2 linked regions of the Ovis aries genome follow. The protein of the gene in region 1 purifies or fractionates together with the protein of each later gene. This does not show direct contact. Links are inferred from orthologs where the notes say so. Each region holds a gene or a part of one and is shown in the gene's direction. Other genes may lie near its edges.

What was found. Proteins that work in one complex are often made in the same cells at the same time.
Region 2: the proteins of PHF19 (region 1) and RBBP7 purify together in Homo sapiens (affinity purification with mass spectrometry; 3 studies listed by BioGRID and IntAct, with this or other methods). This does not show direct contact. The link is inferred for Ovis aries from reciprocal best matches to the Homo sapiens genes PHF19 and RBBP7.

The regions. Positions count from the first base shown.
Region 1 is NC_056055.1:2,688,102-2,695,284, forward strand, and holds part of PHF19 (PHD finger protein 19), read left to right. Parts: exon of another isoform or gene 1-1,130; intron 1,131-1,226; exon of another isoform or gene 1,227-1,245; intron 1,246-1,905; exon of another isoform or gene 1,906-1,999; intron 2,000-2,401; 5' UTR 2,402-2,416; coding exon 2,417-2,602; intron 2,603-3,251; coding exon 3,252-3,333; intron 3,334-6,818; coding exon 6,819-6,914; intron 6,915-7,183.
Region 2 is NC_056080.1:15,064,732-15,072,362, reverse strand, and holds the start of RBBP7 (histone-binding protein RBBP7), read left to right. Parts: upstream 1-3,229; 5' UTR 3,230-3,496; coding exon 3,497-3,644; intron 3,645-3,918; coding exon 3,919-4,063; intron 4,064-7,631. UniProt on the Homo sapiens protein: Core histone-binding subunit that may target chromatin remodeling factors, histone acetyltransferases and histone deacetylases to their histone substrates in a manner that is regulated by nucleosomal DNA.

The DNA.
Region 1 (7,183 bases):
GCCGGCCCGGGCCGGGGACTCCTCGCCGCTCTCGCCTCTCGCCGCAGTCATCCCTCTTTTGGAAGTTTCCCTGGACTTTGGCGGGGCAAACGCCTCGGGGCCGGGAGGGGGTTTGGAGTCCTGGGGAGATGCTCGCCGGGGGCGGGGGCGCGGGGTGGTGGAGAGGGGCGCACGGTGTCTGCGGGGCGGCGGGAGCCCCGCCCGGGTTCCCGAGCCTCTGGGGGGGGGGGTGGCGTGTGTGACAGGTCGCTGTTCCCGTGCCCCAAATCTTTACTTTTCCTGTTTGGTGGGGGGACGGGCCTGGAGACCGATGGGGCCGTTTGGGATTTTGCTCACGTCCGAAGTCAGGCTGCAGCAGGATGGGGATGGGGGGAGGCCTGGCGTCGGAGCGATTGAAGATCGGAGCGCTTGAACCCGAAGGGGGGTCCTTCTGCAAGCGTTTTCCCCTCCCGAACACCCTTTTTAAAAAGCCAACGGCCGCCCTGGGAGAGGCCCCGGCGCATGAATCATCCTTGCTTCCTGCCCCCGCCCGGCCCCGCGCTCCGGGGGCCGCGGATTTGAACTGGACGCCGACGAGAACCCGCAAACAGGCATTTCTTTGCAGATGGGTTTGAATCAGCCAATCACAGCCCGCGGGGGCCCGCTCCGGGAGGATGAAGGCGCGGGTGGAGGGGGGGCCCGCCACCCGAGGGCCCCCGCCCGGTCAGGGAGGGGGGTGCGGCGACTGGGCCTGCTCCCAACGGCGCGGCGGGGGAGGAAGTGTCAGTTTGTGAACCTGCCGCGGGCCCGGGCCAGGCCCGGCGGGGCAGGACCTTGCAGCGCTCGGCAGCCAGGTGGCAGGGAGAAGGCAGAGATTTGGACCGCACACCCTGCCCGGCGCCTGTGCGCTGTGCCCTGGAGAGGAGGGAGGAGTTGGGCGGGGGGAGGGAAGAGGATGCGGCCGCGCCACCATCTGGAGAGTGAAGACCCCAGCAATGCCCTGCGTGCCCCGGGGCCCTTGACATGCACACGCATGTGCTCCGTTTCCTTTACTCGCCGCCACAGAGCTGTAGACATCAAACACCGCCTCACAGGAGCACACACGCACTCACACGGAAACACACACACGACTGTCTCCCTGTAATCTACAGGTAATCATAACACCAGGTGCCCAGCGCCTGGACAGAGGAGGGGACTGGAACAGTGGGTGCAGGGAACAGAGGGGGCTGTGCTTAGTGGAGAGTGTGTGGAGCCGCCTGGAGCCAGGTGAGCCCAGATTGAGGAGGAGAGGGCCTTGGGGTGGGGGACTTTGAATGCCACTGAAGGCTTTGGGGAACCACAGGAGGTTTCTGGGAGAAGAAGAAGATGGGAAATTGTTGGCCCTGGAGAGGAGTCTGGTGGGGAGGCAGGAAGACAGGGAGTGGCCTGTTTAGCGCTGTGCCTAGGTGGTACCATTCTGCGTCCCAGGTGCCCAGCAGCTGAGTGAGCATGAAACAGTTATTGAATGAATAAATCAATGGCCCAGGCAAGATGAGGCTTGAACTCAGACCAGGCCAGGGAGATGGACAAGAGGAAGCCAGAAATCACTGTGCTTGAAGTTGGCTGCTTGTGGCAACTCATAGGTTGGAGAAGTCAAAGATGCTGGGTTGTTCTGGGGACCAGAGTAGTACTGTTAGCAGGAAGTGGGAAAGCACCAGGAGCAGTAGGTTTCATAGGATGGTGAGAGACAGATGTAGAGAGGTTGGCATGGCGATGACTTCACTGCTTGGAGCCAATTTGCATCTGAGTAAAAGCATAAGTGAGTTTAAATGTCCCAGAATTGGTTTCCGTTAAATCATCCCATAACTGAGAACAGCAAAGGAGATTACAGAAGACACAGATGGCCAAGTCTATACCAGTTCATAAGCCATCAGTTTTCCTTTCTAGGTGAGTTTTCTCCATAGCTCTCAGGAGAGGGAGCAGGGGTCTGAAAACCTCCCACTGCTCTCCTGGAGAAGGCCCTCCACTCAGAAAACACGGGGTATGTTTGCTTTAGGGATAAAACCTCTGGCTCCAAAGCCAAGGGGTATGGTTCAGATCCCCCCCATACACACACCTGGGCAGGAGGATTTTGCTCTGTGGTTGGTTGAAAGAGTTGTTCTCTGTACAAGGCTGCGTGGTAGGGGTGGGGCAAATGCAGAGTATAGAATCGGCTCACCTGGTTAAGGACCATGGCTCTGCCTCTGAACCCAGAGCCACTTGCCCTTGCCAGACTTTAGTTTCCTGACCTGTAAAATGGGAATAACATCCAGTAAAATGGGAGTAACATCCAGTGAGATGATAAAAGCATCTGGCACCACACAGGTTACATGAATGGTTGCTGCTTTCCTTCCTCCCCTCTCTCCTGAAGGAAGGAGTAAGAATCCTGTTCCTTCTCTTCCAGTGTCAGTGGAAGCTGATGGAGAATCGAGCTCTGGACCCAGGGACTCGGGACTCCTATGGTGCCAACAGCCACCTCCCTAACAAGGGGTCCCTGGCAAAAGCCAAGAGCAACTTCAAAGACCTGATGTCCAAGCTGACGGAGGGCCAGTATGTGCTGTGCCGGTGGACAGATGGACTGTATTATCTTGGGAAGATCAAGAGGGTAAACCCTTCCTCCCTGGCCCCAGTTCCCCAGGCTTAGCATCTCTCTGCTCATCCCTGGTCCCAGCCTCAGACCAGGGCTGGAGGATGGGAGATTGCTGTCAGATTCCTGCTGCGCCCTCCTGCTCCAAAGCTGAAAGTGGAAGGAGGCAGAGCCTGCAAAAGCAGGTGCCATCCTTAGGGCACCTAAGGACATCTTTAGACAAGTGCTCTGTGAGCCGACAAAACAAAACAAAATCAGGCTGGAGAGATCGTTTGGCCTCGGTATTCCCACCAAGTTGCCGTCACCGAGCACCTCGATGCCCAACTCCAGGGAGTGGGCGTGCACAGCCTTCAGGACCGCCATTCTCCTTCTGGCCTGGCTCTACTTTTTGGAGCACAGAGTGACTCTTTGTGACCCCATGGACTATTCCAGTCCATAGAATTCTCTAGGCCAGAATACTGGAGTGGGTTGCCATGCCCTCCTCCAGGGGCTCTTCCCAACCCAGGGATCGAACCCAGGTCTCCTGCATTGCAGGCGGATTCTTGGAGCACAAGGAGGGAGTCTGATCTCTGTGCCCTGTGGGGGCAGAGATGGGAGAGGAAGACGGTGTTCCAGTGGCTTTTCCCCACCTACTGTCTCACCCTGCTCCTCCCTCTCTCTGCTCCAGGTCAGCAGTTCTAAGCAGAGCTGCCTCGTAACTTTTGAAGATAATTCCAAATACTGGGTCTTATGGAAGGACATACAGCATGGTGAGTATCCTGTGACCCCTCACCCCTACCCCACCCTGGTCCACTCTCCTCTCCTGCCTCCATTTTCTTCCTTCTCTCCTTCTGTCTCTTAACTTCCAGCATCTGGCCGTGTCCTTGGAGATTACCAGTTGTACATTTATATGAGAACTCATTTATGACACCTGTCACCCTCTTTAGCATTCATCCCTCATGCAGGAGGCAGGTGGATGGAGAAGGCAGCTTGAGGAGGGGTGGGAGAGCAGGGTTGGGTCCCAGGCCTGTGTGTATTTCCCGGCTGCCCAAAGCTCTGGGTCCCTCTGGGGCTAGGAACAGAAGGGGCCCAGGCAATCGGAATTGAAACCTTTCGGTGTAAGCACAGTGTCCTCTATCAGCATGTTAAAAAACTAGGAGGCAGCTATCTCTGTGGGGGAGAGACCCACCAAGCCTGGAGGCAGCGTGATGATGACGTAGCAGGATGGAGCTGGGCCCGTTTCCAGGGCTGAAAGGGATCTGGGTTGGGTTTCACCCCTGCCCTCAGAGGGCTGACACTGTCTTACAGAGATGACAAACTGGGGGCATTCTTGCCAGCATGTTCCCCTGCCATGTGCATGACAGACATCACTGATCAATCACAACACTCATTTTCAACATGGAGCGCCAGGCAGCCGCTCCCAGTGAGTTACCATGTGAGAACAGACCTTTTTGCCATTTACGCTCTAACAGGAGGACTGACGTGGTGGTCTGTGAGGAAGAGGCAGGTTTTGGAGCTGGCCTTAAACAAGACCTGGTCCTTGTACCAGGCTTCCCTGATGGCTCAGCAGTAAGGAATCCATTTGCAATGCAGGAGACACTGGCCACACGCGTTTGATCCCTGGGTCAGGATGGTCCCCTGGAGAAGGGAATGGCAACCCGCTCCGGTGTTCTTGCCTGGGAAATCCCATGGACAGAGGGGCCTGGCGGGCTGCAGTCCATGGGGTCTCGGAGTCGGACACGACTTAGCAACTACACCACCACCAGTGCTGTTGAGTTGCAGGGAGTCAGTTTCTAAAGAATCTGTTACCATAACAGATGATATCAGGAGCTTGCCAAGCAGAGACCACAGGACCCAGCCAGTTAGAAGAGTTTCCAGGCTGCCTTCTTCTCCAAGATGTTGTGGCTAATGCAGGCTGATGCTTCTCCAGGCTCTTCTCACCCTAAATGTACTGTTTCAAGATCCAAAGCAATGAGGGTCTCCTCTCCTGGGCTACCTTCTTATCGAAAGCAGAAGCAGCCAGCTGATGAGGAAAGACAGTTCACCTTAGCAAACCGTGAATGGAAGGCCCGCTGTGTGCCAGGCACCAAGAAGGTGCTGCAGTGCTCAGCGGAGGAGCTGCGTGGCTCCCAGATCACTGCTCCTCACGGAGGACAGGGGCCCTCTGCTTTCACCCAGGATGGGGGCACAAGGCTGAGCCTTCTGCGGGTCCTAAGCCATGGCTTCATTAAGCCAGTGGAGACTTGCTGAGACCACGGTGCTCTTGGTACTCTTAAGAAATATAACTGCTGTCAACTGGCAGACGGTCATTTAGTATCTAATGAGTAGTAAAGGAATGGAAAGTAACACAAGTACTATAATAAGCCAACCTATTTTTATTTCCTTTTCTAATCATATGAATGTGATTTTACATGAATTTCTGAGATTCAAACTTTTCATTTTTTAAGTAAGTGCTTTATTTTCCTGGGGTCATATTCAGGAATAAGAGGCAAGAGACTGTTTATTCAACAAACATGTTTTGAACATGTGTGATGTGCCACACCGACCAGAGGTCCTGGGGACACAGGTGAACAGATACCTTTTCTGTCCTTACCGAACTTTCCGTCTGCTGAGGGAAAGGAAAGTCCCTCAGTGGTGTCTGACTCTTTGCGACCCCATGGACTGTAGCCTACCAGGCTTCTCAGTCCATGGGATTTTCCAGGCAAGAGTACTAGAGTGGGTTGCCATTTCCTTCTCCAGGGGATCTTCCTGACGCAGGGATCGAACCCGAGTCTTCCGCATTGTAGGCAGACGCTTTACCCACTGAACCACCAGGGAAGCCTGCTGCTGCTGCTGCTAAGTCACTTCGGTCGTGTCCGACTGTGTGCAACCCCATAGATGGCAGCCCACCAGGCTTCCCCGTCCCTGGGATTCTCCAGGCAAGAACACTGGAGTGGGTTGCCATTTCCTTCTCCAGTGCATGAAAGTGAAAAGTGAAAGTGAAGTCGCTCAGTCGTGTCCGACTCTTAGCGACCCCATGGACTGCAGCCCACCAGGCTCCTCCGTCCATGGGAGTTTCCAGGCAAGAGCACTGGAGTGGGGGGCCATCGCCTTCTCCGCCAGGGAAGCCTAATGAGACTGAAACACACATGACCTTCACACACATAAACGCATGTTTATTCTTCAACATCAAACTTCAAAGATAAAAAAAAAAGAGAGATGGAACCTGTAGATTTAAAACGATTGAACAAACTTAAAATTGTCATGGACCATGGAGACAATTAGAAATGTGAACGCTGAATTTGTTGATGATATTAAGAAATTATTTTTAATATTTGGGTTCCATGGAGGCACTAGTTCTTTTTTCTTTTTCTTTAAGAGAGTAGTAATCTTTCAGAGATGCCTACTGAAATATTTATGGAAAATGATTGGCTATTTGGGGCTTGATTCACAATAAAACAGGAGGGGTAGAGGGTGGGAATATAGTCAAAACAAGACTGGCTGTGAATTCGTGACTGTTGATAACACAGAGTTTCGTTATAACATTTTATTATGCCATAATAAATGGTTAAAAGTTATTTAACATAAACAACTGTAACAAACCAAGCTAAATTAAGCAGGAGAGGCAGCACGCTGTTGTCAAAAGAACGATGATCTGGGGGACTGCTCTGGTGGCCCAGTGGCTAAGACTCTGTGCTCCCAATGCAGGGGGCGCAGGTTCAACCCCTGGTTGGGGAACTGGATCTGACATGCCTCAGCTAAAAAATAACCCTTGCCACAGTGAGTATTAAAAGATCCTTCATGCTGAAACTAAGACCCTGCATATCCAAATAAATAAATACTAAAAAAAAAAAAAGTTATTTGGGACTTCCCTAGTGGTCCAGTGGTTAACACTCTGGGTCTCTAATGCAGGGGACGTAGGTTCAATCCTTGGCCGGGGAACTAAGATCCTACATGCCTTGAGGTGTGCCCAAAACAAAACGAAAATCAAACAAGTTGATGTCAAACAGCGGTGGATTTGAATCCCCCTTCTCCTGGTTTCTAGCTGAGCAAGGGACTTAACCGCTCTGAGCCTCAGTTTTCCCCATCTTTAGAATGGGGTGCTGGTCACAGGCAGCTCAGAGTGGTTGGAGAGGCTCAGTGAGTCGGCCTCTGGGGCCCAACGCTGAGACCCAGAGGCACGGCGCCTGGACTGTGGTCTTAAGACCGTGGGTCATTCACAGGAGCGGTCATTCCCATGAACCCAAGCTGACCACGCAGGGCCCCTTTCTTCCAGCCGGTGTGCCGGGGGAGGAGCCGAAGTGCAACATTTGCCTGGGGAAGACGTCGGGGCCCCTGAACGAGATCCTCATCTGTGGGAAGTGCGGCCTGGGTGAGTGCGGCCAGACCTGGGGCCCCTCTGGCTTGGGACCGCTCTGCGCCCGATCCTCGATCCCCAGGGCCTCAGCTGGCGGCCTCTTTCTCTTGGCGGGGCAGAGTGACAAGGGGGCCAGTCTCTGGGAATAGGGGCCCAGGGAGGTGATCCTGGGGGAGAGCTGGGGCTTCTACAAAGTGAGAGAAGTTAGGCGCTTTGGAGCTCCGAGGGGTGGAGAGGATGGGTAACAGAGATGGAGCACAGAGGCTGAAGTCAGACCTTGCATG
Region 2 (7,631 bases), on another chromosome or scaffold:
AAAATTTTTAAAAATTCATAAAGGGCAGTCAGGAACTGGCTACAGGTTTCAAAAAATATACTAGTGACCAGTCTCAAACCACAACTTGTGACTCATCCCAATCGCGAAAGCAATGTAGGGAGTCATTTGAGTATTTTAAAAAATGAAATGAAGTACCAGAGTGCACTGCACATATTAAAGGCTAGCACTGTGTGGTATAACTTGTTTTGGTTTATATACAAGTGTACTAATCTGTAAAACACAGCTGGCATGGAGAAACCGGTGGTTAACACTATAGCAATTTTGAGGTAAGCAGTGTTAGAAAAAGGTACCTAAACAGAGCATCTCCCGGTTAAGATAGTCCACACCTTGTGAGTGCACTAGCTTCAGTCCTGTCCGAATCTTTGCGACCCTACGGACTGTAGCCCGCTAGGCTCCTCTGTCTATGGGATTCTCCAGGCAAGAATACAGGAATGGGTTGCCATGTGCCATTTTCTCCTCCAGAGGATCTTCCCTATTTGATTAGTAGACTTAGCTAAGTGCAAGAGAGACAAAAAGACAACCACAGAGAAAGTAAGAGAAAAGATTAGGACCAGAGCTAAGTAGGTGGGATGAAAGGCAAAAAAACATTCACTTTATCCTCTGAGCCACTAGAAACTCTAAAAAAAAAAAATTACAGTTTGCAATTCAAGGGAGAAAAACTGGTATCACATTTTTGAGGCAAAAAAGTACCTAGCCAGAAAAAAGACCAAAAAATTCTGGAGAAATAAAACTGGCAGATTCAATTTAACAACAACAAAATCCAGAACTAACAGAGTATGCTGTACCAGATACTTTTGAATTAAGTGTATGATAGCACCCAAATATTTTCACAAACTCCCAAAATAATCTGTTCTGTATTTCCTACTCAGACACTTAGTGAGGTGGACAGCATAAAGATTTTAAAATCATCATCTGGAAAGATTTCTTTCAACTCTTTAAACATTAATAGGTTTTAGAAATCATGCCTACCCATCAGAAAATAAGTAAAATATATTAATGGGAGACTGGAAAACAGCTGCCAAGCCTTCAATTATTCTAGAACAAGGTGGGCAAACTACAGTCCTCCATCTAAATCTAACCTGCCACCAAGTTTTTGTAGGGCCCAGGAGCTCAAAATTTTTTTTCCATTTTCAAGCGGTTGAAAATAATCAAAAGAACATTTTGTGACTCGTGAAAGTTATATGAAGTTCACATTTCAGTGCCTATTAAGTTTTATTGGAATACAGCCAGGTTCACCCATCTTGTCTAGGGCTGCTTTCTCGCTGTAACACTGACGAGTACTTGCCCCCAAAGACTGAAATATTTACTATCTGGCCCCTTTTAGAAAAAAAAAAAACATTTACCAACCAGTGTTTTAGAACAAGAGGGCTGTGTTTAAACACCCTTCCAACCCTCTTCCCTCTCCAGCGCTCCTCCCTTCCCCAGCTTCAGTCACTAACATTCCTGGGCCTGACATGAAAGGGAGAGCGTTATAATAATGAATTGTATCATATCGGAAACCAGAGACACCAGACAGTAAATTTCTATATAAGGTAATACGAGTGGTTCTGCCACGGAATGCCTGGGTTTATTTCCCGATCAGAAAAGTGGGCATCAGAGCAGCAACTGCCCGATTTCTTTTGAGAATCTCCACCGTCGCTTGCAAGAAGGCACTTGGAAAATAGCACAGCAGCAAGTGTTCTGGGGCAGGGGTGCTTTTGCAGGGAGGGCCTCCTCTCAGAGTCTGGATGTAGACTGAGGTTGCCTTTGCGCTAGGCTCCTCGGCCACCTCCCCCTAGCCCGTCCCCTTTGCTCCTGGCCCTCATTTTCATTCCTTTTTGGCCTTGCAGCCTGCTTTCTCCTCACCCCTGCGTACCCCTCAGGGGCTACCAAGTTCCAGGACAAAGCAAGGCTCAGGCAAGCCGGTCCCAGGTCAGCTCTACCCAGTTCTTTCCAGCTTCGCCAGCCTAGGGTGGGGTCACCCTGGGACCCCCGCAGGTTACAAATGACTCAGCAAGGCCCAAGGCTAGGAAGAATACAAGAATGGCAATGCAGGAACAAAATCCTCTGCAGTACGACAGGGCTCAAATATCATCTTATAGACTCGAATTTGTTAACAAAGACGAAACTCAAATCAGCCTCGGGGCGCTGGCGGCCTGTGCTTGAACAGGCCGCAGGTTTAGCCTACAAGGCAGGCCCAGCGGCTTGAACAGTCGGAAAACGCCCGCGGCCTCTGCTAAAGGCCCCCTTTGCCTCCGACAATCCCACCTCGCCTCGACCAGGCCCCAGAAAAGGCCAGTCGGCTGGAGGGAGAACTTTCAGAGTGCACAGACTTATGCATGTCCGTGACTGTCAGGGAGACTTTGAGGGCACAGTAGTCTCTCGAGACTAGAAACCATTTTTCTCTCTAGCGCTGAGATTTTGCTTGGCTAAGCGGCAGCAGCCTCCCAGCCCCCCAGCCCCCCACCCCCACCGCCAAAGCCGCAGCAAGCAGCCACGTCCCGCGGCCCCAGGGCTCGCCGCCCCGGGGCTCGCAGCCCCCACGCAGCTTGCACGCCGCGCCTCCTTTCGCCCCACCCCCTCGCGCCCCCATCCGCCCCCGCGGCCTGCCCTGGGAGCGCCAGGCGAGCCCTCGCGCCTGCGCCTCGCCAACTTCCTGCCGCGGAACGCCCCACCCACCCCCAAAAGCCCGCCTCCGAACGCCGCGTTAAACCTGCCTGCCGCCAGTCATTGGTCAAAAAGACGAAGCCGTTGGCTCCGAGGCCCACCCAAGCCACCGCCTCTCACTTTTCCCAGGGCGGATGCGCCTGCGCTCAGCTGCCTGGGCGGGCTGGGAGGCGCGGGTTGAAAAGTCTCGTTCCAAGTTTGGAGAGAGAGAGAAGAGCGCCTCAGACCTCGGTACCCGCAAGCGGGGAGGAGGCAGCAGAGAAGGACGCAGCGTCTGGGGAGCTCCCAGGCTGTAAGACGGAGCTCAGGCTTCGAGAGCTAGAACTGTGTGACGCGCCTGGGAAAGGCAGGAGCGCTTGTGGTTGGGCTGCTCTTGGCTAGCAAGGGGAGTCCGAGGCGGCGGCGAGGGGCGAACGACCCGACGCAAGATGGCGAGTAAAGAGAGTAAGAGGCCCCGCGGGGCGGCGCGCGGCGGGGGGCGGTGAGCGTGCGAGGCCGCGGCACGCGCCGGCGAAAGGCGCGAATTGGCGTGAGGAGCAGGGGGCGGGGCCGGGCGCGAGGCAGGGCGCGCGCCTCGAGGGGCCTACGCGGGACGGGGCCGCGGCGCGAAGGGCTCCGAGCACTTCCGGAGCCAGGCGCGGGGCCGCGGTTGGGCCCCCTTCCCGCTACCCCCCGGCGTCACCCCCCTCTGGCGGCGGCGCTTGCTCTGCACCCGGGCGGAGGCGGCCTCCGTCGCCGGAAAGCGGGCACGGCACCATCTTCCACGCGCGCGCGTCGACCGCCTCGGGGTCGCGGCCCTTGTCCGGGGGATTCTGGAACCCGCCGACTTATGGCTGCCGGCTCGGGTTTCGTGGGAGCTGAGGCCTCTTCTGGTGGGGGATGGGGGGAGCGGGCCGATGCGTTTCTGCTACACGTGGATTCGTCTCGCCGGGTGGGTCGGGGAGCCCCTTTACATACGGGTCGTCATCTTGGAACAGGTGCGAACAGCTGTAACCGGCAAAACAATTGCGATATCTATGTAATTAATTGCCCAATATTGTATACGCAGGCGGTATTGATTTCAAACTGCAAAAAAATAAGCTTCCTGGTGTTAATATTCTCCTCGCGTTCTGGAAGACCAGTGAGTTGGTCGTGTCCAATTTAGTGGTTAAGAGAAAGAGGAGATAAGGTGTGGCCATCTCGAGGTGACCTCCAGTATAGATTTCGATCCCTTTCAGACACTTAATCGTATGGGATTTGTCCAAATTTCAGTGTTTGAAGATACTGTGGAGGAGCGTGTCATCAATGAAGAATATAAAATCTGGAAGAAGAATACACCGTTTCTGTATGACCTGGTTATGACCCATGCTCTTCAGTGGCCGAGTCTTACCGTTCAGTGGCTTCCTGAAGTGACTAAGTAAGGGTTTTTGTCAACTCTTATTTTGCATAAATTTTGCTGTTAACATGAATCTCCTAGTTTTTCGCGTCTTATACGTAGAACATAAACAAGTAATCGATTAAGCCTTTGGGTGATGTGGCAGGTGATTTTTATTTTCAAAACTGACTTACAGGGTGGTTTCTGACGTATAAATGTGGAATTAAAAGCGGACAGAGAATCTGTTCTGAGATTAAGGATATTTGTAGGATGCACCAGATACATTTGACATTTCTTGAACTTAAATGTAGACGCTGGGTTTTCTTTGGACCCCAAACTAATGGATTTCTTTAAAACTCAGTGGGAAAAGTGCACGAATCATAAGTGTATGGCTTGATGAATTTTTGCAAAATGAATACCTCTTTGTAACCAGCCCACAAGACGAATACGTTTTAATTGGCAAAGGAGAAAACAGTTTTGCAGCAGTTCACCAACGAAAAGGTGGTATAATATGATACATTTTGAGGTTGTTTTTGGTCTTCACCTCTTTGTAAAATTTCTCTGGTAATAATTGCTGACATTTGTTGAGCACATCTGAAGAGTTTTATGTCCTATTAGATTTAATACAACAGTACAATAATTATTTTTTATTATCCTCTTCTTTTTAATCGATGTGGAAATGGGCTGAGATGTTAAGTAACATGCCCCAGATCACACAGCTGGTAAGTGGTGGAGCGGGCTTTGGAATGCAAACCAGGTGGCCCCAGAGTTGAGGCAACCTCTGCACTAGGTTATGGTTCTCATACACTTGCACTTTTCCTAGTAAGAACCTGGCCATGTACTTTAAAAATGTATTAAATTTGATTGTTATGTGTATGTCATTTAATGAGGATTTATTAAACTCTAGAAGTTTTGCAACAACTTTTAAAAATAAGAGTAAATTACTTTGGTATAAAACTCATATAGTGGCCAGATTTTCCATATGAGAACATTGACTTCTACACGGTTAGGGACTTCTAGTGGACTTTTCAAAAATCTCAATGTAAATACACAGATGTGGGAAGAGGAGCCAAGAACTAAATAATGGAGACTTCTAAGTGTTGACATTTACAGCTTTGACCATCAAATGCTTAAGGGTATTGAGGTTCTGATGTAGTGCAGCACGGGTATTTGACTATGTCTTCCTATTAAGCAGATTAAGTTAAACAACTTAATTTGAATCTTTTTGATGTTTGACAGTAGAAAAGAGCCCAGGCTTTAAGGTTAGAGATCTGAATTTGAATCCTGCCCCTTGCTTCTTAGCTTTGTGAATTAGGGCAAATTGATCAGTCTCTATCCTGAAATAGTCTGGTCTGTAAATGGAGATGCTGAAAGTTCTTACAGCCTACATCTGAGGAAATGAATAAGATCACACATGTTAAAATGCTGGCTCAGAGTGAGTACACAGTAAGTGGTGACTGATGGTGGTTCTCCCACCCTTTCCTATTCAGAAATAAGTTGTTAGGGTGGAATAGCTCTGTTTCCATTTGTATTTCAATGAAAGCTGTTTAGTCACATTACCTATTATGTTTTTTGTGTAAAACACTTTAAAGATAATAAATCTGTGTTTTCTCAGCCCAGATACTACTTTTATATTAACACTTAGGAACTTAACAGAAAATACTTTATATATTCCATGGGGTTCTTTGCATACAAAGAAGTGGGATCTGGTTGTGGGATGGGCAGTGGCTCTGGGAGTGCAACAAAATGCCAGCCAGCCTGCATTCTTGTGTGTCGAAGACGGCTGAGTGGTGCTTTGCAGGTTTCTGTTTGGACTATGAAGGGACTGTGATTGTGTTTTATCACTATGTAGGACAGTAGAAATGTTGGATACTCTTACAGCCTGGCACTTTGAGAGGCAGGCCCTACTCAACCTCATCTGGCTGGTCTTCTGTATACATACAACATGCTTCCAAATGATTACTTGCACTTTCTGAGCTGTTGCTCTTAAATTCAGTTAGGTGATCATCCAAATAATTGATTTGGCTCTTTAAATTTTTATTTAGGTATCTCTAAGAAACTATTTTTCAAAACCAGTAGATCATTACTTCATATGTCTTATTGAATAATTTCTTAAACATATTGAGACTTATATGCTCTACCTAAAAATCTATGTATGCATTCAAATTCAGATGATACAAAGCTGCATAGAGTGAAGACTAAGTTCCCCTTCCACATCCTCTGTTCTTCTGGTTGCCTTACCCAGAGCAGAGTCATTTGTGATTTCTTATCCATCCTGCCGGCATGAAGAAGTACATGCTATGCCCCTCCGCCCTCTTTTTCTGTTAGGAAGTTGTTGACTTGACTTTGGATCTTAGTTCCCCAACCAGAGATCGAACCTGTGACCCCTGCAGTGGAAGCTTGGAGTTCTGACCACTGAACCACCAGGGAAGTCTCTGTTCACTTGATTTTTTAAATTAAGAGTTTGTATTGGAGACTTTTTTCCTATAAGCATGCTTAGATATATGAAGGGCTCGGTAGAATTCCTTTGTGGATATACTGTGACTTGTGTCACCAGTTCCTTATTGATGGATATTTGTTTTCAGTCTTTGGCTATTTCAGGCATTCCTACCAAGAATAACCTTGTGATGATAATCTGTGATTGTCAGGTGAATTTCCTTAAGTGGTCAAAGAATTCTGGCACTGAAAATGGACAAGGTCTTTTGTAACGAGTGCTTCTGCAGCCTTAGGTACATCCAGTATTTGAAGAAAGCAGTGAAATATTGATGGGCGAGGAAAAGTAGGCTTGTTTTTCGATGATGGTGATGAAAGAATTTGTAGTAAAAAGAAAAATCCTTATACGATGATGGAGTCAGAGGAAACTGAAATAATTGAATTTTGGAGTCAAAAGAAGCTTTTCAGACCCTCTAGTCCATGTTGTAATTCTACTCCTTAAAAAGGTCATATGATGAACTGATGTGTTTGACCGTAACTTTACCTGTAGGTCTTAGAATTTTTCTACTTAACGCTATAAAAAACAAGTCACTTTTCTTCCTTTTATGTCAGCCCTGATATTGCTGGTGCCTCCTTTCTCTCAAGTATTCCTATTTCTTTTCAAATGGTTCTCATGAGATATGTTTAAGTTCCCTTTCACTTCAAGCCACTATTCCCTGTAAAAGTTTCATTTTTGCCTAAGTCCTTCTAAAATGCATTGCCTAGAGCCTAATTTTCTAAGTGTGGTTTTCCCAGTCACAGATTAGTAGATGAATGCCCATGTGTATTGCCTCTTCCTACCCTATATAAATTCATGTAAGATGAAAGTAATTAATTTTTTTATAACCACATCGTATTCTTGGCCACTGAACACACATCAACTCAGACCCATGTCTTAATTTTTTAAATAGATTCACTTTTTTATTTTTAAAAATATTTTATTTATTTATTTATTATTTATTTGACTGTGCCAGATCTTGCAGGATCTTTGATCTTTGTTGCAGTCTGTGGGATCTTTAGTTGTGGCATATGGGATCTGATTCCCTGACCAGGGCTGGAATTTGGGCCTCCTGCATTGAGAGTGCACCATCTTAGCCATTAGACCACTAGGGAAGTCCCCATGTTCTTTTTCAAATGA